Linked DNA regions of Arabidopsis thaliana. The protein of the gene in region 1 interacts with the protein of each later gene in a pairwise test. Each region holds a gene or a part of one and is shown in the gene's direction. Other genes may lie near its edges.

Evidence for each region. The genes of interacting proteins can lie anywhere in the genome.
Region 2: the proteins of AT1G14990 (region 1) and EMP1 interact in a protein complementation assay, tested with the Arabidopsis thaliana proteins (one large-scale study listed by BioGRID).
Region 3: the proteins of AT1G14990 (region 1) and AT2G33250 interact in a protein complementation assay, tested with the Arabidopsis thaliana proteins (one large-scale study listed by BioGRID).

What each region holds. Positions count from the first base shown.
Region 1 is NC_003070.9:5,163,959-5,171,455, reverse strand, and holds AT1G14990 (uncharacterized protein), read left to right. Parts: upstream 1-3,191; 5' UTR 3,192-3,304; coding exon 3,305-3,423; intron 3,424-3,576; coding exon 3,577-3,658; intron 3,659-3,753; coding exon 3,754-3,870; intron 3,871-3,931; coding exon 3,932-3,961; intron 3,962-4,051; coding exon 4,052-4,102; 3' UTR 4,103-4,425; downstream 4,426-7,497. Other genes in the region: AT1G15010 (mediator of RNA polymerase II transcription subunit), read right to left, coding at 1-241; scpl50 (serine carboxypeptidase-like 50), read right to left, coding at 1,509-2,843; CPN10 (chaperonin 10), read left to right, coding at 4,802-4,906, 4,993-5,132, 5,475-5,526; AT1G14970 (O-fucosyltransferase family protein), read left to right, coding at 6,539-6,919, 7,109-7,178, 7,283-7,350, 7,466-7,497.
Region 2 is NC_003076.8:3,422,762-3,432,024, reverse strand, and holds EMP1 (Endomembrane protein 70 protein family), read left to right. Parts: upstream 1-4,127; 5' UTR 4,128-4,227; coding exon 4,228-4,365; intron 4,366-4,845; coding exon 4,846-5,010; intron 5,011-5,112; coding exon 5,113-5,222; intron 5,223-5,317; coding exon 5,318-5,429; intron 5,430-5,512; coding exon 5,513-5,625; intron 5,626-5,705; coding exon 5,706-5,856; intron 5,857-5,957; coding exon 5,958-7,115; 3' UTR 7,116-7,337; downstream 7,338-9,263. Other genes in the region: CM2 (chorismate mutase 2), read left to right, coding at 513-599, 683-826, 913-1,005, 1,095-1,334; CBSX3 (Cystathionine beta-synthase (CBS) family protein), read left to right, coding at 1,883-2,143, 2,224-2,305, 2,391-2,464, 2,546-2,606, 2,710-2,852; AT5G10830 (S-adenosyl-L-methionine-dependent methyltransferases superfamily protein), read right to left, coding at 7,376-8,011, 8,145-8,294; AT5G10820 (Major facilitator superfamily protein), read left to right, coding at 8,859-9,263.
Region 3 is NC_003071.7:14,093,229-14,100,677, forward strand, and holds AT2G33250 (uncharacterized protein), read left to right. Parts: upstream 1-4,140; 5' UTR 4,141-4,225; coding exon 4,226-4,630; intron 4,631-4,955; coding exon 4,956-5,450; 3' UTR 5,451-5,523; downstream 5,524-7,449. Other genes in the region: XID (myosin XI D), read right to left, coding at 1-68, 174-300, 387-424, 538-639, 733-790, 1,100-1,201, 1,292-1,438, 1,523-1,659 and 8 more; AT2G33255 (Haloacid dehalogenase-like hydrolase (HAD) superfamily protein), read left to right, coding at 5,567-5,900, 6,292-6,334, 6,426-6,486, 6,612-6,746, 6,966-7,130.

The sequences.
Region 1 (7,497 bases):
AGTAGAAACGTTTCTCCCATTGCATCCAATGAGAAGGAGGTTCAAAGTTGCGTTCAACCATCTTCATCTCATGGATTCGTTTCCTAAGGACCACCATGTTCTCGTCCACCGTTCTTCCTCCTCTGTAGTAGTCTGCACACACGGTGGTGGTTCGTCTTCTATTGGTTCCGGTGGCGATTCTTTGTGATGTCCTCAATGGATGGAACCTGAGTGTCGATGACGAGATCAGTATCATTTCCATTTTCTGTTGCTTAGGAGACACAATTGGTGGGATTATTTATAAGTTATATTTGGATAATATTTAATAAAAACGGCTAAGGCTGCTTTAGCGCGTTACCTTATCGTAATATTGATGGGGTCACCATCGATCACGTTTCCTTACAATTTCACTTTTGTTTCTTCTCAATTTCAGCTTTACACGTCTTTTACAAATTTGTCGACACGGCCAAATAAAAAAACATCAAACATGAAGCTCCGATGAAAAAGATGGATCGGTGTTAAATTGGAGATATCATTAAATGTCAATCCCATTAACGTACTATCCTCATAATTTATCAACCAATAATTATATGTACATTGACCTCTCCTTTGTTTACATCCAAAAAACGTACGAATCAATCCATATGATTAATTAAGGAATCATGGGGTACTCTCATACTTAACATTAATTTAAGAAATAATGGTGAAGTGATGTCTATTTTTTTTGTTTGTTCTAACAATGGTGAGGTCAAACGATGGACATAGATTATACACAGTAGCCCAATGGGCTTAATAGTTACCTAACTCTGAACCCAATTTTTTCTCGGCCCAACTAAAAGGATTATCGTCCGCCCTAACTCTCCTAATTTCGCACTATAAAGTTGCGAGTTTCACAGGTTTTAGCAGGAGCCGTCATTAGGGTTCCAATGAATTTTGTTTCAATTTTTCGATGTTCTGAATATCATTCTCTCAACAATTAGGCGAAAGATTGATTTTCATATGATTAGTAGTTTTCTTTCTGTTTTCCGCGAATGTTTTTCCGAGAAAATTGAATCGGGAAAGAGGCAAAAAACAGGGGAGAGATTTTGATAAATAGCTCTGAAATACCTGTAGGTTTTCTACGGGGTGCCCTTGCTCTTCTTTCCCTAATACCAAAATGGCTTCATAGTACGGGTTTCTTTGTGCTTTCTCTGTGTTTTGTGTATTTTTTATACTCAAATCACTTTGAATCTCATTCACAATCCCGCCTCCAATCGCCATTACATGTTTTTAAAAATTCTTTAGTTTATGCTTCAAATCTCCTTATTCTTACCAAAACAGTTTATCTGAATCAATCCTTAAGTGTATACTGTATGCTAACTTTTTTGAGAAAGTTTAAGACTTCAGGAACAGGCAAATGATAAACTAAGTAGCAAAAGTTACCAATTCGTACTAAAATGAACTTGTGAACATGACGTAACAAATCTAAATCCAGAGTACAATTAGAATCTGAATTGAATCTTACAGAACTAAGTACAAGTACACAATATTTAGATTGAATGGTATAAGCTCGACGAAGTTGTCTGCTTCACATCTTTACCACCGAACAATCCTTTCCCCAAAACCCAACCTTCAATCATATCCCTTGAATTCACAGCTTTATCTGTCGGAACAAAATGACCAGCTCCTGTAACCGCCACGTGGCACAAATTCCCCCATCTCTGAACATAACCAGCGACCACACCGTCTTCATCCTTCCACACACGCCTCTCCGCCGTCGAGAACATTCCCAATCCTGACCAGTTCATAGTCTTCATCCACTCCTCCGTCGAAACGACGCCGTCTCTTAGATCAAGCATACCTTGATACAGCAAGACTTGAGTCCTCTCCAATGCGTACTCCACCATGAACTTTACGCTCTTCATCACGTCTGCCCGCAACACATCTTCTACTTCATCACTACATTCCTCAAAACGAACCGTTTCACTCACTCCCAAAACACGTTTTGCTTCTCTCTGGTTCAAGAGGTCCACCACGAGGTCTGTTCTGTATGGAATCGCCCGTGCCGTGTTGTAGAGCGTCGCGAGTCCTGTCATGTTACTTAGTAGCGTCAACAGTTCGGTCCTCGCGTCTGCTGCTTCACGCCATTTCTGGGACTTCACGAGAGCTACAGATATCTCCTGCGCTTTTTGCAGTTCAACTCTCTGTTTTGCGTTGACCAGACCCGAGTAGTAGACGTTGACCGCATGGGTTTGAACCTGGGTCACCGGGTCGGTCAGCCCGTTTCCAATGGCTAGCCCCTTTAGATTCACTTTCCCATTGGGTTTCTCTTTAAGGATATAGTATCCAATGGCTGGAACGTACTTCCCGGCGTAGCTCTCTCCAGTGAAGTAAACCGGTCGGTTTTCGAAGCTTGGGTTTTGTTCAAGGAACTCCACGAGAGCGGCGTAAAGATGCTCAGCGACCTGTCTCTGATTTGTGGGTATGTCTTGTTGTGAGGCTGCGATGCTGAATCCGACTCCTATTGGGTTATCCACAAAAAGTAGTCCGAATAGACGGTTCCATGCGCCGGGGTTGCGCTCGAGGTCTGTGGCGCGTGAAACTACACGCCAGGGACCGAGCTCGTAAAAGTTGCCAATCATTGAAGAGCAGCCTGGCCCACCTTGGAGCCAAACGAGGAGCGGAGTGTCAGGAAGAGGTGTGGTTGGCTCTTGGGCTTCGTAGAAGGCATAGAACATGGACGAGCCGGGTGCGGGTTTAACCGGGAGGTAGCCAGATTTAGTGGGGAGAGCTTCATCGGGAAATAGCGGTGGCTGAGGAGACTCAACGGAGACGGCGAGGAGGAGAGTGGAAAGCAATATGAAGAGTGTAGTGGCTTGCTCCATTATTTCCACTAATTGGTGACGCCTTTACATAAAGATCCCTTTGTATTATTTCATTTATTTCATTATTTGACTGCAAAACATTACGTTTATGTTTTGTCTTGTATAACATGTGAATTTTTAAATGTGTAACAATAACATTTTTGTCAAGACGTGCTTGCTTACTAACCTAATTGCATTAACATGTGAGTTTTTTAATTTAAAGGTTTTTGTTTGTAGATGATTTTCCATAATGTATATTATTTTAAATTTATTGTTGCCAAAAGAAATAAAATCTAAAAGTTTTATTGGGCCGAAAAGAGAAAAAGGTCAGATAGGCCCATAAAAAGTTGGACAATACAAAGCGTTTACAATTTGTCAATTGCAAATTTCGTGAGATGCTTCTTCTACTCGTCATCTCTGTTTGGTAAAGTGATCACAAGGTGTTCGATATAATACCTGAAAGAGTTTCCGAAGGTGTGAAGATGATGATCTTGGATGTTTGCTCAGAGGTTATAAAGATCCAGAAGCTACGACGGGCTGTCTCTTACGCCGGATTCTACTGCTTCACTGCTGCCCTCACATTCTTCTATACAAACAACACGTAATGTCTTTCGTCCGATCTCAGTTTGCTTCTTTTGGTTGTTCTTTCTTTTCAATATCGGAATTCGCAGATGATTTCAATTTCTGGGTTCTTCTCTTGGTTTCTGCTTCAGGTTTAATTTGATTTAATGTTACTGATTCGAATGTTGTGTAGAACAAGAGCAGGATATTCCAGGGGAGATCAGTTTTATGCATCTTACCCTGCTGGCACCGAACTTTTGACCGACACAGCTAAGGTTTGTCCTTGATGACAATTTTGAGTTGTCGTTTACAGTTTATATAGTTGATTAGTTCTGTGTGGAACTGATGATTGGGGTTTATTGGAGTAAAGCTGTACAAAGCGGCGCTTGGGAATTGCTATGAATCTGAAGATTGGGGTCCTGTTGAATTCTGCATAATGGCTAAGCATTTTGATCGCCAGGGAAAATCTCCATACGTTTACCACTCCGTAAGTTTCTTCAATCTCTTTATGATAATCTCTGTGGTGCGGATATTTTAGTGTTGTAAAGGTCAGTTTCCATAAGTCTAGAATCTTGATGGTACTGACTTTGTGGTGCCATTGATAGAAATGTTTGTCGAATCATGTGGGGTTAGAACCAAGAATTGAGCTCATTTTATTGTGAATGCAGCAATACATGGCTCACCTTCTATCTCAAGGCCAACTCGATGGAAGTGGCTAGTGGCGCCAGCTCTCTTTGTTTCAGCTTTGTGCCTAATCTTGTTATAGCAAATTCGAATCCTGGTATCTTGGAACATTTGTATGGTGTTTGTATAAGTCCGGAACCGTACCATTGGCTTACATGGATTATTCAGATTTGTACTCTGAAAATTAAGAGCATGTAATTCCCGCAGAGGCACAATGTAATAAACATATAGCATAGCAAAGCAACAATCCGGGGAAAAACTTTGGTTACCACCTTGAAAGAAATGGGGAAAACTGACAGAGCAAGAAGCTTTCCATCATCAGCAGAGACGTTTGATAAAAGAAAGGTCAAGATTTCATTCCACGAAAAATCTGCCGAAAATAAACATCTCATTCTGGATGTGGTATATGAAATGGGATTGTACATGGAGTTTGAAAAACTTGGCAAAGAGAATCATGGAAGGAACTAACCATTTGAGCTGCAAGGTCATACAACACTTCCAAGAATTTATTTAGACAAACACAAATGCGACTGGTTTTTTTTAATGAGTGAGGCCCATTAAAGAAATAGTATGATATTATAGGCCCAAACAATCCCAAAACCCTTGGCCTTTTTCTGTCGCGCTAAACCCTACGATCTAGAACCTTCCGTCTTATGTGTCTCTGCCCCAAATTAAAAACTCAGAAACCCTAGAAAATTCCGATTCATCAACTGAGAGAGAAGAAGAATTGAGAAATGATGAAGCGTCTGATCCCAACGTTCAACCGCATCTTGGTGCAGAGAGTCATCCAGCCCGCTAAAACCGAAAGCGGCATTCTCCTACCTGAGAAATCCTCCAAGGTAAAAGAGCTTTGATTTCACGATTTGATTCTTCTGATTTTCGCCTCTTAGATCTGAAAAATAAACATATTTTTGGGTGATTGCAGCTGAACTCAGGCAAGGTGATAGCTGTTGGACCTGGATCAAGGGATAAGGACGGGAAATTGATTCCGGTCTCTGTGAAGGAAGGCGACACTGTTCTTCTTCCAGAGTACGGTGGTACACAGGTCAAGCTCGGCGAGAACGAGTAAGTTAAACCCGCTTCTTTCTTATTATTGCCCTAATATTCTGATAAAATTCTGATCTGATCTAATTGAACCTTTATGTTTAGCTAATCATGTTCAGGAATCATTATCCATTAATTAGATTAATGGATGGAACTAAGGGAATTACTTGTAAGACTGTGAAGATATTGAAAATTTTGTAACAGAGGATTTAAAAACATTTTGATCAATGTTTAATAATGCCAATTTGAACACCAGATTTACATATTGATTGGTGGGTTGATTTTAGAAACGAATAAGAAATTACAAATGAAGAAGAATTTGACTCAAAGTGAGTAACTTTTGTGTTTGTGTGATGGACGCAGGTACCATCTCTTCCGGGACGAGGATGTTTTGGGAACTTTGCACGAGGATTGAAAAGGCTAAGCTTGCCAACTTAACCACGAGGGTTCATGTTGGTGTTTGTGTTATGAGGAGAAGTCATTTATAAATTAGTTTATCTTGAAGATGTGGTTGGACTTTGTTGTCGTTTATCATTGAATCTACCTTTATGAACCTGTCTTTGAATTTTTACAAATGGGCATCAATCACATGGATAACCCAAGTGTTGCATCTTCTCATTTTGTGCTTTTCCGTAATCTGTGGATGCTTTTCGTTTACGTTTAGGCAGCAACTTCAATAGCCAATGTAGACGATAGCTTAGTTGACTTTGCTTATTCATGATCATGCTATAACAAAAGAAATAAGCTCATTTGGCCGCATGGCTTTTTTTATATAGCATCTCCTTCTTCACATATTGACAACTGAATCAGGTCGAGAAGTAGGTCCATGTCTATGCATTCTGAAAGTTGTGTCTTTTGATTTCCTTTTCACAATGGTTGGAAAACTACTAATTTTGGATTTTCAGTTGTTTAACCCACTCGTTTGGATGATAAGACAACTGTAGTATATTGTCTTGTCGCACCTTCAAATTTAGTATAGGTTGGTTGATTGAAAATATTTCATCTTTCTAACCAAAAACTGAAAAATGTGTATGAAACTCATTGCTATTTTTGGACAAGTCTCTCTGCCAATACAAATTAGACCATACGTAGAAACCGATGCATTGAATTCTCACGTTTAACAATAGTTTTCCATAGAAACTGAAATCAAAGAATTGAAGAAAGAAAAAGACTAAAGAACTATAACACATAAGAAAAGCCAAATAAATACTCAAGTACATGTGATTAATCGATCATGCTTCCACCGCACGAGCGCATACATACATAACATAAATAAAATTTCTCTCTCTTTTGCTTACTTCACTCACAGTTTCGCCGCCGGGATAAATCCGTTCAATCGGCGTTTGCCACCTGCCATTGTTACAAGCAATGCATTATATCGTTAATGGCGTAGCGCATTGAGAAGAGAGAGAGAGAGCAGGGAAACAATGATTTCCCAGGTGGAGAGAGATCTGTCGATTCAAAATCGGCTTCCGGGAAGCGATCACACTACTCCTTCTCCGCCAACATCTCCTCATCTCTGCCGGAGCCGGTCGAAATCCTCCTCTGTCTCCGGGCAACAGCAAAGTCGGAACGTCGCTCACCGTCTCTCATGGATCATTTTATCTGTTCTTCTCCGGCGTCAGGGAATTCTCCTTTTCGCTCCTATCATCTACATCTCCTGTATGCTTTTTCACCTACACGCGGCGTCGTTTGATGCCTCTCCCATTATCCACCGCCGTCCTGCTCCGGGATCCGTCTACCGGAGCCCTCAGGTTTACGCTAGGCTTCGCGGCGAGATTGAAGCCGATAATACCACGGCTGATGCGGTGAGGTTTGCCTCCGTTTTATCCCGCTTGTGATATCGTTTTGAGAATGTGGCCATTGTCGAACATAGATTGATCCAATTAGAGTATAATATCTAGGAGAACGTATAACAATGTTGAACATAGATTGATCTCTGTTCTTTTCTTGTTCCCATTTGTCATGTATCGTCAATGCAATTGTATTCATTTAAGATATCAACAATTTGGAAGCGTTCCTATAAAGGTGTAGAATGGAAGCCATGTGTGAACATGTCTACTGGAGGTATTTTACATTGTTCTCCTAGTTTCTTCGTTAGTGTTCTTTGTCCTAAGTAATAAGTTGAATCAATTAGGCTTTCTTGTTGTTGTTTGTGTTAACAATTGTAGTTTTACCTGTGTCAAATGGTTTCATATTTATTGAGGCAAATGGAGGCTTGAATCAGCAGCGGACTTCGGTAGGTTAATCATCTTACATCAAATTGATTTTTTTCACACAAGCCTTTCTTGCTATTGTCTGGCAAACTTGTCAAAGGTGAAGCTGTTGACTTGTCTATTCCATGTTTTACTTAGATATGCAATGCGGTTGCTGTGGCAGGCTACCT
Region 2 (9,263 bases), on another chromosome or scaffold:
TTAAAAACTGATCCTTTTGCTAAAATTAGATACAGAGATATCAATGCTTCGTTTGATTCGGTTTTGGTATAGCATTGTTTTAGATTGTTCCATGAAATTAGCAGAAAGTAAGCTACAAGTCAACTTGATTGAGGTTTTAATAAGCCTGGATTCTTGAATTAGCATGCCTTTTGTTTGCTATGTGTCTCCTCCATTGCAAAAGATGATAACTTGGCTTTGCCTGTATAATCTCATTGTGTGATAACTTCTTGTTTTGATTTGAGTGCGAATCTGCCAATAAAAGGCTCCGACTTTATCATATGTATACGAGATTTCCTTATGAAAACCTCATTATATGTGGAGATTGGAAATGGAGGACTATTGTTTTCTATTTTTATAATGTCTGAAAGTCTTATTTCATTAATATATTCATCTCATTGGTTTATATATATTCTTAAGTTTCTGGATATTGAGCCTATATGTTTGTTCATTGGTTTACTTGAAAACCTTATGTGTATGTGTATATTATATAGGTAGGAAGATATGAATACCCGGAAGAGAATCCTTTCTTCCTTGAGAACATTCCTCACTCGGTTTTTCCTACGCACAAATATCCATCGGTATGTATGTAGTAAAGTCTTGAGCATTTTTCTTAGAACTCTGAATGCTTTAGTCTAACAGTACTTTTCTTTCTCTTGATTAGGCTTTGCACCCTAAGGCTCTATCTGTTAACATTAACAAACAAATCTGGGATATTTACTTTAAAGAATTGCTTCCTTTGTTTGTCAAACCTGGCGATGATGGCAACTATCCATCAACTGCTGCTAGTGATCTCGCCTGTTTACAAGTAAGGAGATGATTGAGTATACATAACAAAATCAGCTCTACTTTTGGCTAATGATGTCTGATCTGATATGTTTGATCTTGTGTAAGGCTCTTTCGAGAAGGATTCACTACGGTAAATTTGTAGCTGAGGTCAAATTCAGAGATGCTCCACAAGATTACGAGCCTGCGATTCGCGCTCAGGTAAACTTAGTGTCACATTGTGGATTCTGTTTCACTGTGGTTTTAAAATGATATGATTCACACCATAATCGTTTGATTTTCGACTGTAGGATAGAGAGGCTTTGATGAAGCTGTTGACGTTTGAGAAAGTAGAAGAAATGGTTAAGAAGAGAGTGCAGAAGAAAGCAGAAACGTTTGGACAAGAAGTAAAATTCAACTCTGGCTATGGCGATGAGAGTAAGAAGAAGTATAAAGTGGATCCATTGCTTGCCTCTCGCATCTACGGGGAATGGCTTATCCCTCTCACTAAGCTCGTTGAGGTTGAGTATCTTCTACGTCGTCTCGATTGAATATTATTTGTATCCAAATCTGGCCCTGTTAAAGTGGGCCTTAAGTTTTTAAGTGGGCCTGTTGATATTTGTCAGGATATGATAGAATAATTGAATGAAGCAACACAGTCATCACTATTTTAAATTTTGTAAGATATTTTAAGGAAAAGAAAAAAGTCGCCAGTATTTCGCTATCGAAAATCGTTTATTTATATATTTGATGATTATCCATTAGAGAACCCTTCAAAAAACTCTCCACTCAACTCTCTCTGGTCAGCTGTCTCTTCCCCATTCTCTAGGGTTTTCAAGCTCAACCTCAAGCTCCACTACGATCTCTTCTTCTTCTCTAATCTCAGGTCTGAATCTCTCCTTCTTCACTATCTCTGATGCTTTTTACTGAATCTGATTGAGGAAACTTTCCATTTTAGGATTTGTTGATCAAATACACTCGGTTTAAGAATTAGGATCATTCTCTTTTCGATCTAGTTTCATTAGACTCGTTCTTTTAGCTCTTGATTTTATAGATCTCGTTTTGAGGAACTGATTATTTGGTTGTTGACAGTTGAAAGATGCAAGGTGTGATTCGATCCTTCGTCTCCGGTGGAAATGTTGTGAAAGGCTCTGTGCTGCAACATCTCCGTGTGATTAACCCGGCGATTCAGCCTTCTGTGTTTTGTTCACGCTCTGAATCAACTCAACCTGCACGTATGGAGGAATCTGGATTCGAGAGCACAACTATTTCCGATGTCATGAAATCCAAAGGCAAAAGTGCTGATGGATCTTGGCTTTGGTGTACTACTGATGACACTGTTTATGATGCTGTTAAATCCGTATGCTTATACTACTCTCTTTTTCCTTTTTTAGATATCTCGATGTGGATTTGGAATTGATTGTGTTTGATTTTGTTTAGATGACACAACACAATGTTGGTGCCTTGGTGGTTGTGAAACCTGGTGAGCAACAAGCTCTTGCTGGTATCATTACAGAGAGAGGTAAAATTAGATCTAATCATTAATAATTTTTTTGTTGTGTCTTGTGGTATGTGTGATTCACTTTTCGGCATTGTGATTTCTCTAGATTATCTACGGAAGATCATTGTGCAAGGGAGATCATCCAAATCAACAAAAGTTGGAGACATTATGACTGAAGAGGTATGTAAATGCACGATTGTACGATTTTTTTTTTGCTTTTGTGGATTGAAACTGACTGGATCTGTGAACTGGCAATTGCAGAATAAGCTTATCACTGTGACACCGGAGACCAAGGTCTTGCGTGCTATGCAACTGATGACAGGTAAGCAGACAACTTGATATTTTTCCACTAAAGATACAAGCTTTTGGGTTTAAAACCTACTGAAGCAAATAAAAATGCGGGTTTGTGTTTTTGTAATGTACAGATAACCGAATCAGGCATATTCCGGTAATCAAAGACAAGGGCATGATTGGAATGGTGTCCATAGGAGATGTTGTCCGTGCAGTGGTTCATGAGCATAGAGAGGAGCTTCAACGCCTAAATGCGTATATTCAGGGAGGTTACTAGATCTTGAATAATGGAAAGAAAAGAGTTCCCTGTTGTGTCGTCTGGTCTTGTGCTGCTGAATCTGAAAAGCTTCCAGATCAGTGTAAATATGCAGTCCTCGTTGTTATTGTTGTTGTTGTTGTGTTTGATGTTTTGTGTTGTTTCGTTGTTTAACTTGTCAAAACTAAGGCCTTGTGCTGCTTCTCTTCTTGCGCTTACTTAGCAAGAGAATAAAACCAAAAACTCTGATCTCTTTATGAAAGATATGATGTTTGTTTTTGTTATCAAATCTTGCGTCAAGTATCCATGTGTGTTATGAAATAATAGAATTACTTTGAAAATTTGATTTCGGTACAAAGTTTCCGTGTCTTTGGACCATGAAAAATATCTTAACAAGTAAACCAATTCTTTGAATACAAACAAGTAAACCAAGGCAAAATATAAAACGATAGATTTTCTTCAAATCAAATCGATTATGGTGTGGTCACAATATCGTCTCTCAAGGGATCAAACTCCGGTGACCAAGCTTGCACCATGAGATAGCGATCAAACGCCCTCCATGGACCTCCTGTCAACGCTGCCATGTATTCCTCCTCCGCTTCGAACCGAATCATGAAAAACTTACGAGGGAGATCCACAACAGACATTGCTCCTCGTGGTTTCCACATCTCTCGAAGCTTTCTACTTAATGCTGATATTGTCATGTTACGCCCGGGCACTTTCACGATCAAGCTGTTCTTCAACAAACCATTCATCGCCGCCAATACCTCACTGCCAATTGTTATCACTGGTTCTCCATCCTCACCATCAGGGAACTCCAGTGTCATTTGCTCAGACACAAACTCATCATCTAAGATATCATTCGGATTTAGGATACCACCTAAATGTCCCCCCACCACTTTCTTCACCCACGAACCCGGTGCATCAGGAGGGTCTCCCGGAGAATGACCTTTCTCTCCTAGGTCCGTCATGGTCACATCTTGCGTTTCAGATCTCAAGCCTCCGGCGGCGTCGCCCATTTTCTCTCTATCGATTATATTGAGACCACATTTTAACACAATCTTAAAAATGTATAGCAAATGCTTAAAAATCTTGATTGACTTTAATTAATCATGGTTTATCGGATTGGTTTATCCTAGGGTGGGCTTATCGAGTTAGGCCCATTGGTTATGTAGGCTTATAGCTCGTAGAAAGACTTCATGCGTAGTGACGTGGTGAATTATTAATGGTTGATAAGGATCAAACATAAACGAGCCAAACCGGAAAAATAAACCGGGAAGTATTAAATCACAATTAGAGGCGGGTCTTGGTCTCGAGTCTCGAAGCGTATAAGAGTCAAATACAACTGTAGCGTAGCTTCAGATCTGGTTATTTTCTTCCTTCGTGTGGAACAGCCATGGCTATGGAGTTTCTGAGGAGCAGTAGAAGAATATTGGAATCTTCTGGATGCGCGATCGCTTTGATTTTTCTGCTCTTCATCCATGGAGCTCACTCATTCTATCTCCCAGGTGTTGCTCCTCAGGATTTCGAGAAGGTAAAAACGTTTCGAATTTGTGCTTCTAGGCTTTTAGATCTGATTTGGATCTCCTGGATCTGCGTTTCGATTTCCGCTAGGATTAATCCGTTCTTGATTCCCGAGAAAGCTAGAGATAGTGAGAGTTGGAGTGCTGATGCACCGACTTTTGGTTTAGCTATTTTTCTAATAGAATTGGTGATTTCACTTCATTTCCGCTTCACTAATCTCTCGATCTGAACAATGTAGCGTCTTAGGCGAGCTATATCGATATTTATTCTTCTGGATTAGCCTTATTCGCTGTAATTTTGATTACCTTTGTTAGGTTCTTAGTGATCTCTCGCTCTTGATTCGCTTGCCATTACTACGAAATCCAAGTTATGGGTACAAGGGCAATGTCGGTCCTGCATGTTATATGACGAGTCTCAATCAAAGTAGACTTGCATGTTTCACTTCAAAATCATATTCAAATTTTGAGTCTTGTTTTCTTGTATGTTGCAGGGTGATGAGCTGAAGGTGAAAGTGAATAAATTAACTTCCATAAAGACTCAGCTTCCATACTCGTATTACTCCCTTCCTTTTTGTCGCCCTAGCAAGATTGTGGACAGTACTGAGAATCTTGGAGAAGTGCTTCGGGGTGACCGGATTGAGAATGCCCCATACTCGGTTAGTCTCGTATTCAATTTTTAATTTTGTAATTCATCAGGCTGTCAAAAATATTATGTCTGTGATTTAACTCTAACCCTTGCGGGGCTGAAACAATTGCAGTTTAAAATGCGGGAGGCACAAATGTGCAATATTCTCGGCCGGGTCACTCTTGATGCCAAGACAGCTAAAGCGTTTAAAGAAAAGATCGATGATGAGTACCGGGTCAACATGTAAGACCAAATACAGGCACTTTTCTTTGATTATTTGTATGAAGAACATGCTTTTCTCTGTCAGTTTTATTATAAGTGTTTCTGGTCTGTGTTAGGATCCTCGACAACCTTCCTCTGGTTGTTCCAATTGAAAGAGTCGACCAGGGTTCTCCCTCTGTTGTTTATCAGCTTGGTTATCATGTTGGTCTTAAAGGCCAGTACGAGGGGGTAAGTAGGTTTTAATTGTTAAGACACTAAATGGAATTCATGCTAGATCGTTCGATTTTCTAATTTTGTTTTTGCATACGCAGAGCAAAGAGCAGAAGTTCTTTATGCACAATCACTTGGCATTTACAGTCCGCTATCACAGAGATATCCAAACTGATGCTGCAAGAATCGTGGGATTTGAGGTTAAACCTTACAGGTGCAGTTCTTGTTCATAATTTGAATGTCTCTTGGGATCCCCTGTCATTCAGAACTGATATTCCCTCCGTTGATTTGTAGTGTGAAGCATGAGTATGAGGGAGAGTGGAGTGAGAAGACCCGTCTGACGACTTGTGATCCTCACACGAAACGCCTGGTCGTTAGCTCGGCTACCCCTCAAGAAGTTGAACAAAAGAAGGAGATTATCTTCACATATGACGTCGATTTCCAGGCAAGTTTTTTCTTAAGTAATCTGCGGTTTGTGTCTTAAAAAAATTTCATGAATTCTTGTTTTCAATAGTTTTTCTGATTTCCTCTTCTGTTTCTGTCCAGGAAAGTGAAGTGAAGTGGGCATCTAGATGGGATACTTATCTTCTGATGAGTGATAACCAAATCCACTGGTTCTCTATCGTCAATTCTCTGATGATCGTCCTATTCCTATCTGGTATGGTGGCAATGATAATGCTGAGGACCCTTTACCGTGACATTTCACGATACAACGAGCTCGAGACTCAAGAAGAAGCTCAAGAAGAGACAGGATGGAAGCTTGTCCATGGTGATGTTTTCAGACTTCCTACCAATTCTGATCTGCTCTGCGTCTATGTTGGAACAGGGGTCCAGTGTCTAGGCATGGTATTTGTCACAATGATCTTCGCCATGCTCGGATTTCTCTCCCCTTCCAATCGGGGTGGTCTGATGACTGCAATGCTCTTGCTCTGGGTCTTCATGGGACTCTTTGCTGGTTACGCCTCTTCACGTCTCTACAAAATGTTCAAAGGAACAGAGTGGAAGAGAATCGCTTTCAGAACAGCCTTCTTGTTTCCTGCAGTTGTGTCAGCAATCTTCTTTGTCCTAAACGCTCTCATCTGGGGACAGAAGTCATCTGGGGCTGTCCCCTTTGGAACAATGTTCGCCTTGATCTTCCTCTGGTTTGGCATCTCAGTTCCTCTCGTCTTTGTTGGGGGTTACATTGGGTTCAAGAAGCCAGCGGCTGATGACCCAGTGAAAACCAACAAAATCCCGAGGCAAATCCCAGAGCAAGCTTGGTACATGAACCCGGTTTTCTCAATCCTCATTGGAGGAATCTTACCGTTTGGTGCAGTCTTCATCGAGCTCTTCTTCATCCTCACATCCATCTGGCTCAACCAGTTCTACTACATCTTTGGGTTCCTCTTCCTCGTCTTTGTAATCCTCATTGTGACTTGCGCCGAGATAACCGTAGTACTCTGCTACTTCCAGCTTTGCAGTGAGGACTACCTTTGGTGGTGGAGATCATACCTCACATCAGGCTCATCAGCTCTCTACCTCTTCCTCTATGCCACGTTCTACTTCTTCACAAAGCTTCAGATCACCAAACTGGTCTCTGCGATGCTTTACTTTGGGTACATGCTCATCGCCTCCTACGCATTTTTTGTGCTCACAGGAACAATAGGGTTCTATGCTTGTCTCTGGTTCACAAGGCTCATCTATTCCTCTGTTAAGATCGATTAGAGGATATGATGATCATCATGGCGATTAAGGAAACAAAGAAGAAAAGGTGATCATAGTTTATCTTATTTTTCTTTTTAAAATCGGTTTTGTTGCATTTTAGGTTCTATTTTGTTGCATACCAAAAGAGATTTTAATATATGTAATAGAGTGTATTTTGTTTGATTTGTCAAATAACAACACTTTCTGAGAATTTTTGCAATATAACCAATTTTTATAAATAAACTCAAATGAGAACAACAATCAATCATGGTTTGGTGATATCAAACTCTAACTTTTCCTGCAATCATAAAAGCTTTGTAAACGACGGAACGAACCAGATCAGAACCTCCCCAAGCGGTTTCAAGCTCTCTCACCAAACTCTCCGGTAACAACTCGACGCCTTTCTCTCTCGCCGTGACGATGGCCGACCATGATTTAAACATCCTTATGATCCCTTCAAACGACGTCGTTTTAGGCATCTCCAGCTTTAATGGCTCCCCTTCTGATCCCATCCCAACATTTTCGAAAGGAAACGGCAATGCTTCGTACGAATCGAAGATGTGCTGAATGTACGGATACTTCCAAAACGGCAGCGTTGTGGCGTGGAGCCGATACTGGACGGCGTCGAACTCTGGACTCACTATGACGTCGTTGTATCCCCAGACAGCGATGATTCCGCCTGGTTTACGGAGGAGTCGTGTGGCCACTGAGTAGAACCTAGGGAGATCGAACCAGTGTACGCCTTGGGCGACCGTGATTAGATCCACTGAGTTTTCTCCTCCGATTAATTCCACTAGCTCGTCGTCGGTCATTGACGTCGGCGTATGGCGATAATTGATTTTCGGATGTGGCGTTGCTAGCTTCAGCTGCGATTCACTCACGTCCGTTGCTACGACACTCTCGTAATGCTCTGCAACCTGCAAAATGGAGGCGAAATTTGTCAAATCCAAGATCTGATGCATGTTGTTGTGATCATTTACGAGCAAGAAGCTAAATCTGTTAAATCTAAGTTTGAAGCTCTATAAAAATTTATGAGCATCAAATACTGACGGCGAGAGCTGCTTGGCCATTTCCGGTGGCAGCATCCCAGGCTAAACCGTGGTGATCGGTGAGATCAGCGAGCTTCGAGAACCACTCAGAGGGGTAATTAGGTCTGGCGTCAAGGTATAGATCGGCTTGTTTATCAAACAATCCTGCCATTTTCTCTCTGTTTTGCTTCTTCTTTTCTTTCTCTCTTTTTTCTGATTAGTGTCTAGCCATGACTCTCTAGTCATATATAGTAGTCTTTTTAGCTTGTGGGAATCTCAAAGATAATGACCTCCAACGAAGCAGCATATCGCTTTCCTTCTCTATTTTTTAATTGGATTTTGAAGTAATTGTTTAGGTGTTTGTTGATGTTGATTAGGATTTTTGAGTTTCGGTGGGAAGATGAAACATTTGACTTTCTCTTTTTGCTTTCAAGATCTGTCAATCATACTATCGAGTTTGTGAATTTTGGCTAATAAAGCGATTTGGTTTCGTTTTTGTAGAATTTCAGACTGGTAGTTGAAGAAAGACGTCATTGCTTACAAAGTCAACAAGGTAAATGTCATTGTCAAGTGGGAAACTTTATAATATATCTTTTGTTTTTCCTCGTGTGTGAATGTCTAAACCTTTTTGAAAGTCTAAAAGGCATTTCCTTTACATTGAAAATAACGATTAAAGGCTCTTGCTCTCGATATTTTGATTTCAGATCCAATGTTCATCTCCTAAACAGTCAACACCATGGAAACACTAGAAACTGAGAAATTCTTCTCAGACGATAAACCTCTCCTAAAACCAATTTCAGATCATTCTGAGATCAAGACAAAAGCAAGAAGAAACGCTGTCGTCTCAGTTCTAATTCAGCCCTTCCAATGGTTACAAATGCTGAGTTCTAGGCTAAACCTGAGCTTCGTGCTAGGTGTGGTCCTTGTGTACGGTGTAAACCAAGGGTTCTCTGGTTCGATATTCAAAGTCGTCACAGACTATTACTGGAAAGATGTCCAGCAAGTGCAGCCATCGGTTGTGCAGCTTTACATGGGGTTATATTACATTCCATGGGTCATGAGACCCATTTGGGGTCTCTTCACCGATGTGTTCCCTATCAAAGGTTACAAAAGAAAGCCGTATTTTGTAGTTTCTGGTGTT
Region 3 (7,449 bases), on another chromosome or scaffold:
AGAGATTGATGTTCTCCAACAACATAATCTTTGTTCTTGTCTAAAAATAGTTCAGTCTGATAAGTGACCTGAAGTTGAACATCAATACAGTCATTACACCACATTGACATTTTTGCCATTACTTAAAGACAAACATTTAAGCACAAACTTCTGTAGTAAATTAAATCACTAACATCACCAGCATAATGGCAGATGGTAAAGTCTGTACGAGCCAATTTTGGCTTGGTAAAACGCTTGTGGCTACCAAATGTCTGGTATAGCTTTTCTGCAAGTGTATCATGTGTTGATCTTGGGAACATACTGTAGAGGCATACACAAACTCAGCCACTTATTGAAGAAGTAAAAAGAAATCAGTGAAGAAAGAACATGACGCTTTGGTACATTACCAAGCCTCATCAAGAAGAGCAATAATTCCACCAGGTTTCTGACATTGAACAATTCTGTATTAGGTGCTAGAAATCAATAAATATGTATGAAACTGGAACTGCTAGAAAACGGAATAAAGATTCCAACACCACTCATTGTGATACTACTTACCTTTTCTATAAGGTCAAGGACATCTTGATTATCAATGAACTCTATGTAACTCCAGTCAATCTCTTCTTTAGTATATTCTTCTTGCTCCATCTTGAACACATGCTGTAGAAGAGAGGAACATATGCATGAATATGGATCAGCATAAAATTAGATCAATCAAGAATCAAAAATATGAAAAGAACCTCAGTCTCCAACCTGATTGAAATGCTGCTGCAGCTTCTCGTTTGTCAGGTTTATACAAAACTGTTCAAAACTGCAAAATGTGAAAAGAGAAAGACAACGTTGTAATTGTAACACAAGCATTAAAACTGCTATCAGTTGAACCATATAACAGCTAGGAACAATCAATTATGAGAATAATAATAATATTGTCCCAGACCAGAAAAAAATCTCTAGCTAAGTAGCTAAAACTTAAGAAATCCAATAACAAACCATCTGCTCAATGTTTGAAGAAGACTAAATCAGAGAGCATATAGGCAGCCATGCAGGAAGCAGTATAGGGAGTTTATAAATCAACTCGAAAAAGGAAATTGAACATTTTGGTAGCGTACCGGTTAAGCACCTGTTTGTCTTGAAACTCTCAAATCCATAAATATCCAGGACTCCAATTATGTACTTAGAACTTGAGTCTTGGCCAATGGAATTATTTATCTTAGTCACAAGCCTGGGAGCAATAAATTTGTAAGCTTTCAAAACTTTATATCCCAGGATTGATAATAAGCCCTTAAGAAAGAAGCCGTTATTGTAAACCTACCAATCAAACAATTTAGAATAGACAATCTTGGCAAGAGCATCTCTGCTTAGTGCTGCACTACCGGGATCAAGAGGCTTTGTAATGCTTTCACCACGAGTCACCATCACCCTATTGCACAAGGAGTTCTCTAGAGCTTTCTCATCACACCTACCCAAAAAAGAGCAATCAGGGTTCTACCTCCCATTGACAAGAAACCTGTAATCCGAGAACACATAATAGTGAAGCATATACATGAAAAGTTTTGCAGCAACTTTTAGATGGAACCGGGATTTATCGTCCTTGGGTTCTGCACCATCTGATTCTTCGCTCTTTGCAAACTCAATGTTTCCTAGATGAAGGATAGCAGCAACTACCCGAAAGATTGCATCCTACAAAAGTAAAATGTAAGAAGAGTTATCCTCATTGCTGATCATGTCAATGAAAAAACAAAAGGTACCTGTTCTTCAGGACTAATTCCAACAACGTCCATAGCTTTCCTCGTAGCTAGGTATTCTTTGGAATCATCAATTGCATCCAATGCATGGCAATTCGATTGATTTAGGTAGTGAAATGTGCTTGGTTTCCCTAACTGATACCGCTCAGTTTCCTGAAATTTCAGAACAGAAGCTAGTTTTCAGTATGAATCCCATATATGGCCAAGCACTGGACATACAGAGCCTTCATATGTTCGACCTGATGTAAACATACAAGGGACCATGTTTACCTGTTCTGGCGCAGCGCAAAGCATGTAAAAGCAATGATAGTTTCTTTCAGGATCAGAAACTTGACAAACTCGTGACCTCTCCAGCAAATATGTTCTAATAGCAGCTCCTGAGATTCTTCCCATATGATTGAACTGAATCTCCACAAATTTACCAAAACGACTGCAATATGAGATTTGCCTACATATGTCAAGGTTGACTTCAAGAACATACATAAACTTGAAAAATCAAGAAATGTGAATGACATTCCACCTTGAATTATTGTTTCTGACGGTTTTTGCATTACCAAAAGCTTCTAAAACTGGATTTGACTGCATAACAGGATCATAATACGAGAAGAATAAGAAGATATCTACAGAGAGAAACTCAGTGAGTCTGTCTCTAGTAAGAATGTAGATGCATTGTAAACAGACTATCTACCTCCAAAACTTGCTGTTCGACAGATCGTCCTTCACTCTCAGCTTTTCCACCCATGTATGCAAGATATTGCATGAGCATTTTTGTGCTCTCTGTCTTCCCAGCACCGCTTTCTCCACTCACCAAGATCGCCTGGCTTACTCCCTCGTTGATCATTTTTCTAAATTTATATTCTTGATGATGGTGAGGCCCAAAAAAAAATGATAGTGCAACATTAGTTAAAGTTTCATCTATGCAACAAAAGATTACCTGTATGCAGAATCAGCAACAGCAAAAGGATGTGGGCTTAACTCGCCAAAATCTGTGCCCTTATATTGCTCCATTATCTCATTTCCATATAGGTGGGGTAATCTTTTAAAGGGATTCACAGCTATCAGTATATTCCCTGTGTATGTCTGTAACCATCAAGAAGAAATTAGCTTGCTACAAACACTTCAGAGAAATATTAATGATATTGCTATAACTGTGCAGTAATTTTCAGCAAAACAATGGTAGAGATAATCATAGAATTCATAAGTGGGTGTAATGAAAGAAGGAAAACTGACAAGAGTTACATGCTGAAGCGTACATATATTTCATTTGCATTGTATCTGGCTTTTAGATTGAGAAGAACCCCTGGTTCATGCAAATACGCAAGCTTTGTCATGTCGTCCACACCAAGCTCAGGAAACTCAGGATCCTTGGGGTGGACAGCATTAACCTTTGCCACAACCTACAAACAAATGCATCACAAATATGAGCAATGTATTCTTAAGGTACCTTAAGAACTAACACATTGTCTCGTTGCTTTGGAGAAAAGGGACTAACCGTCTTGGTTTGGCAATTAACTTTGATCTCTTGACCGTTAGCTTCCACAACTTCTCCATCTAGCCAGGCTTCATCTGGATCTTCCACCCAGACCTGTGACCCCACAGTTACCTTCACTGAAGCCTGATTAAAGTAGAATATATTAGAAACAAATAAAAAAAATATTGTCAAGCTTCATTAGCTGGTTCTTTTGTTCTCTTTTAGACACATCTTATAATGAAATCTAAAATGTAAGGGGCAACATAAAAATCAGCTCAAATAGCAATTATGGTTACAGAAGATAAAAAAAAAAAGGTAAAAATGAAGAACACGGAGAAATCGCAATGCAGATAAGAGAAGAGAGACTCGTACCATTATCACGGCCAAATCTGGTCTGATTTTCCTAGAAATGATCCCGAATAAAGATTTCCAACGGGAGAAACATTAGAAAAAATCCCTGAGAACCCAATCAGCTGGTGTTTCCACACCATGGATCCAAACACCATAAATCAAACACAAAACGCTTCTCTCTCTCTACTAGCTTCAAAATCTCTGATCGACGTTATAAATGCGGAAGATTAAGACTACATTCACGTTTTACGGACGATATTTCAAATTTCTCCGACGATTACAGAGACCTTAAACCCTTCGGCTTTTGCCTTCCAATATTTCCCCAGGAAAGCTGGAGATTCTCGCAGAACGTAAGAAATTTTCTCGCGTTTTCCCTCGGAATATTCTCTCCTGGTTTTTTTTTGTTTTTGCCTTGTTTGATGCTTCGTCTCTCTCTCCCTCGTTTCTGGAAAAAGGAAGAGAAAAGAGAATCCACGTAGGCGTGTCAGGTCAGACATTTGATGATCTCGAAATTACCCCTGCAATTATACCGGATTTCAGTTCTAACATTTCTCCTGGACCAAGCCGGTTTATAGTATTCGATTCTAATGGAGGAGATGATGACAACGTGGCGCAAGTTGAGTGTGTCTATACATGGAGCAGAGCATTTTCTTCACTGTTCTCGCTTCGCCAGACGTTAATGGCGGATAGAGGAGCTCTTTCGTTACCGCGAGCTTCTACTTATCTTAGTTTCTCAAACCTCCATGTCTGGCGATTCCACAACCCTAGATCTTATCCTCCCTCTCGTTCTCAACTCCTCTGTTTCTCTTCCTCATGCTCTAGAGTAACTTCGGCGAAGATAATTCAGCTGAACCGCCGGAGATTCAGCTATAAAATATGCGCCGCCGCTGATGACGGTAGGGGATACCGTTTGACGGAAAGGGGAAAAAGGGGAAGGAAGCGGCGGGAGCTATGGGAAGAACTTTTTGAAGATAATGTTGAAGACGATGATGATGAAGATGATGGTGGTGGTGGAATTGGTAGTGCTAATTTTGACCTGTGGAAGATCTTAGAGGAAATTGTAGATAATGTTTGGATTTTAAAGGTAATTAGTTTCAATCATGCATCTTTTAAGCCTTAATTATGAAATTAGCCGGGAATCTACTACTGCTAATTGAAAATGCTGATTGATTAAAGTATCAAAATTGTTCTTTGGTAATGGTTATGGTGATCATGTAAGAAACAGTTAATATCGTTGTGTAGTGAATCTGAACTAGTTTTGATTTCTAACTAGATAGTGTCTTTCTGCTCAAAGATAAGAGAAACGGCTTTGTTGATATATAGCTGCATTTTATTTGCATACACCAGATTTTGCTCTCTTATTGTTGGTGTGGGATCTTTATTGTGTTTGGTTTATGTTCACTTTGTAGGCATTCAAATCGTATGGATATCTCCTCCCATTCATCATCTTATCGCTTTTCTTCAGCACCGGACCCAAAGCTTTCCTCGTGTCACTAGCCGTAGCAATCGGGCCATCATTGTTATTTTATGCGTTCCAGAAGTTGATTGGTTGGGATAAACGCAGAGGTACATCAATAGCAAATCAATTCGGGATAGAGGAAGAAGAAGAAGAAGTGGAGAGAAGTAGTAGCAGGATTCGATACAACCCATCAACCGTTAGAAACAATGTCAATGGCCGTGGAGTTAACCGTAGTTCAGCTGGAATGGCTTCTAAGTTTGGTGGGTGGGACGAGTTAGACGGGCTTGGTACCACCATTCCCGAACGGCCAACAAGCGAACCGAAGAAGAAACCGTTACCGAAGAGGAAGAGAGTAAGAAGAGAAAAGGCAGCAGAACCATTATTGTTGAGATTGTTGGTGTCTTTGTTTCCATTCTTAAGCACATACACAAACATGCTCAAGTGAAAAACCACTAAACCAAAACAAACCAAGTTGTTCAAATTAAACCGAACCGAAATTGGTTAAAAATAGAGAATAATTATGAGCCTCAATTTCAGTTTGAGCATCACCATTTCTTTTCCATGACTTTCCTCTTATCAAGAACATTTATTTCTCTCACTCTCAGACCTTCTTGTTCGATTTCCATGGCGAATTTAACGACGAACGCTAAAACTCGCCTGAGAGGTGTTGTATTCGATATGGACGGAACCCTGACTGTTCCGGTCATCGATTTCGCCGCAATGTATAGAGCTGTTCTTGGTGAAGATGCTTACAAGCGAATCAAAGCAGAGAGCCCTAGTGGGATTGATATTCTGCATCATATTGAGTCGTGGAGTCCTGATAAACAGCAGAAGGCGTATGAAATCATTGCTGATTATGAGAAACAAGGAATAGATAAGCTTCAAATCATGCCTGGTACGGATTCATCTGCTTTATTTTTTTATTTTTGATTTTGTGTTTGCGCTGAGGAAGTGTTAAGGATTTGGGTTTTCGTCTGATAATCTATCGTAAAATGGGTTAAAGATTGAGAATTTCGTAGAGTTAAAGATGAGAAAAGATTGCAAATTCAAGGCTGAAAGATAAAATGAACATTTGTTAAAAGTGAAGACTTTATGGTCTAACGGAGGTTTGACTTTTGTCTTAGAGCCCCACATCACGATTTGAGATCATTCCTTTACTGGTCATTGACTTTATGCTGTTGAGTTCTATAAGATGATTTAGCAGTTGAAAATCTAGAAGGAGTACTGTGTTTCTTTGGCGTTTAGAGGTTTAATTCTCTTCTGATATGTGATCATTTATGTGGCAGGTACTGCTGAACTATGTGGCTTCCTTGATTCCAAAAAGATAAAGTCTGTGGTTTTCAGATACTTCTGTCTATGATTTTTTGTTTTCTTGTTCAGATAACTTGACTGTTGTTACATTTTGTATTTTACTTTATAGGAGGGGGCTAATTACACGCAATGTTCAAAAGGCAATCGACATCTTCCATCAACGTTTTGAGGTAAGAATGTTGAATTGAAGACATTTTGACAGCTGCCTGAGATAGGTTTAGCTGGATCATTCTTTTTTTTTTATCAGAGAGAAGAAATCTGAGGCAGTTCCTTACAGTTATTTTTCATTGTATAGGTTATCTTTTCTCCAGCACTAGGCAGAGAGTTTCGTCCATATAAACCAAACCCAGACCCGCTGTTGCATATATGTTCTACATGGGACATCCAACCTAATGAAGTCATGATGGTTGGTGACAGCTTAAAAGATGATGTGAGTGACAGACATGATGACAAGCCTTTGGTCAACCCTTTCTCCATAGCAAATCGATAAGCAATGCAATGAAAGAAGCTTAAACAATGGATCTTCTCATGCCATTGCTTAAAGATTTTCTATGTGGAAAGGATGCCTACCAACTTTTCAGACTATTTTTCTCACATCTTTACTGAAGATTACAACTGGTAATCGATCTTTCTTTTCTCGATTCTGCAGATAGCATGTGGGAAACGAGCTGGAGCCTTCACTTGCTTGCTAGATGAAACCGGAAGGTATGGACCAGACGATTTTTCTGTTTCCGGTCTGCAACCTGATTTTAAGGTTGATTCCTTGTCCAAAATCCAGAACCTATTGGAGACGAACTTCGACCTGAACCCGTAGTTTTTCCAAGTTCCTCATCTTGTAGTTTCAGTGACCAAATTAGTGTCCTACTCAACACAGTATCTGTTCAGGATAGCCATAAATGTCAAACCACGGAATTCTATGCACTGGCTATCTTTAAGTTGCACAATTGTGTCCCTGCATGGTCGTCTAGCGAACATGTGTGTGAGGGCAAACATTGTTGTTTGTTAAATCCAAAATTTCAAGATTTTTAATATCATCTCTAGTCTCTGAATGGCTGAATCTGTTTCTTAGTAAGTCTTCCAACAATGATAGATCTAGTGTGAAATGTGATCCTGCTAAGTGAAAAAGACTTCTC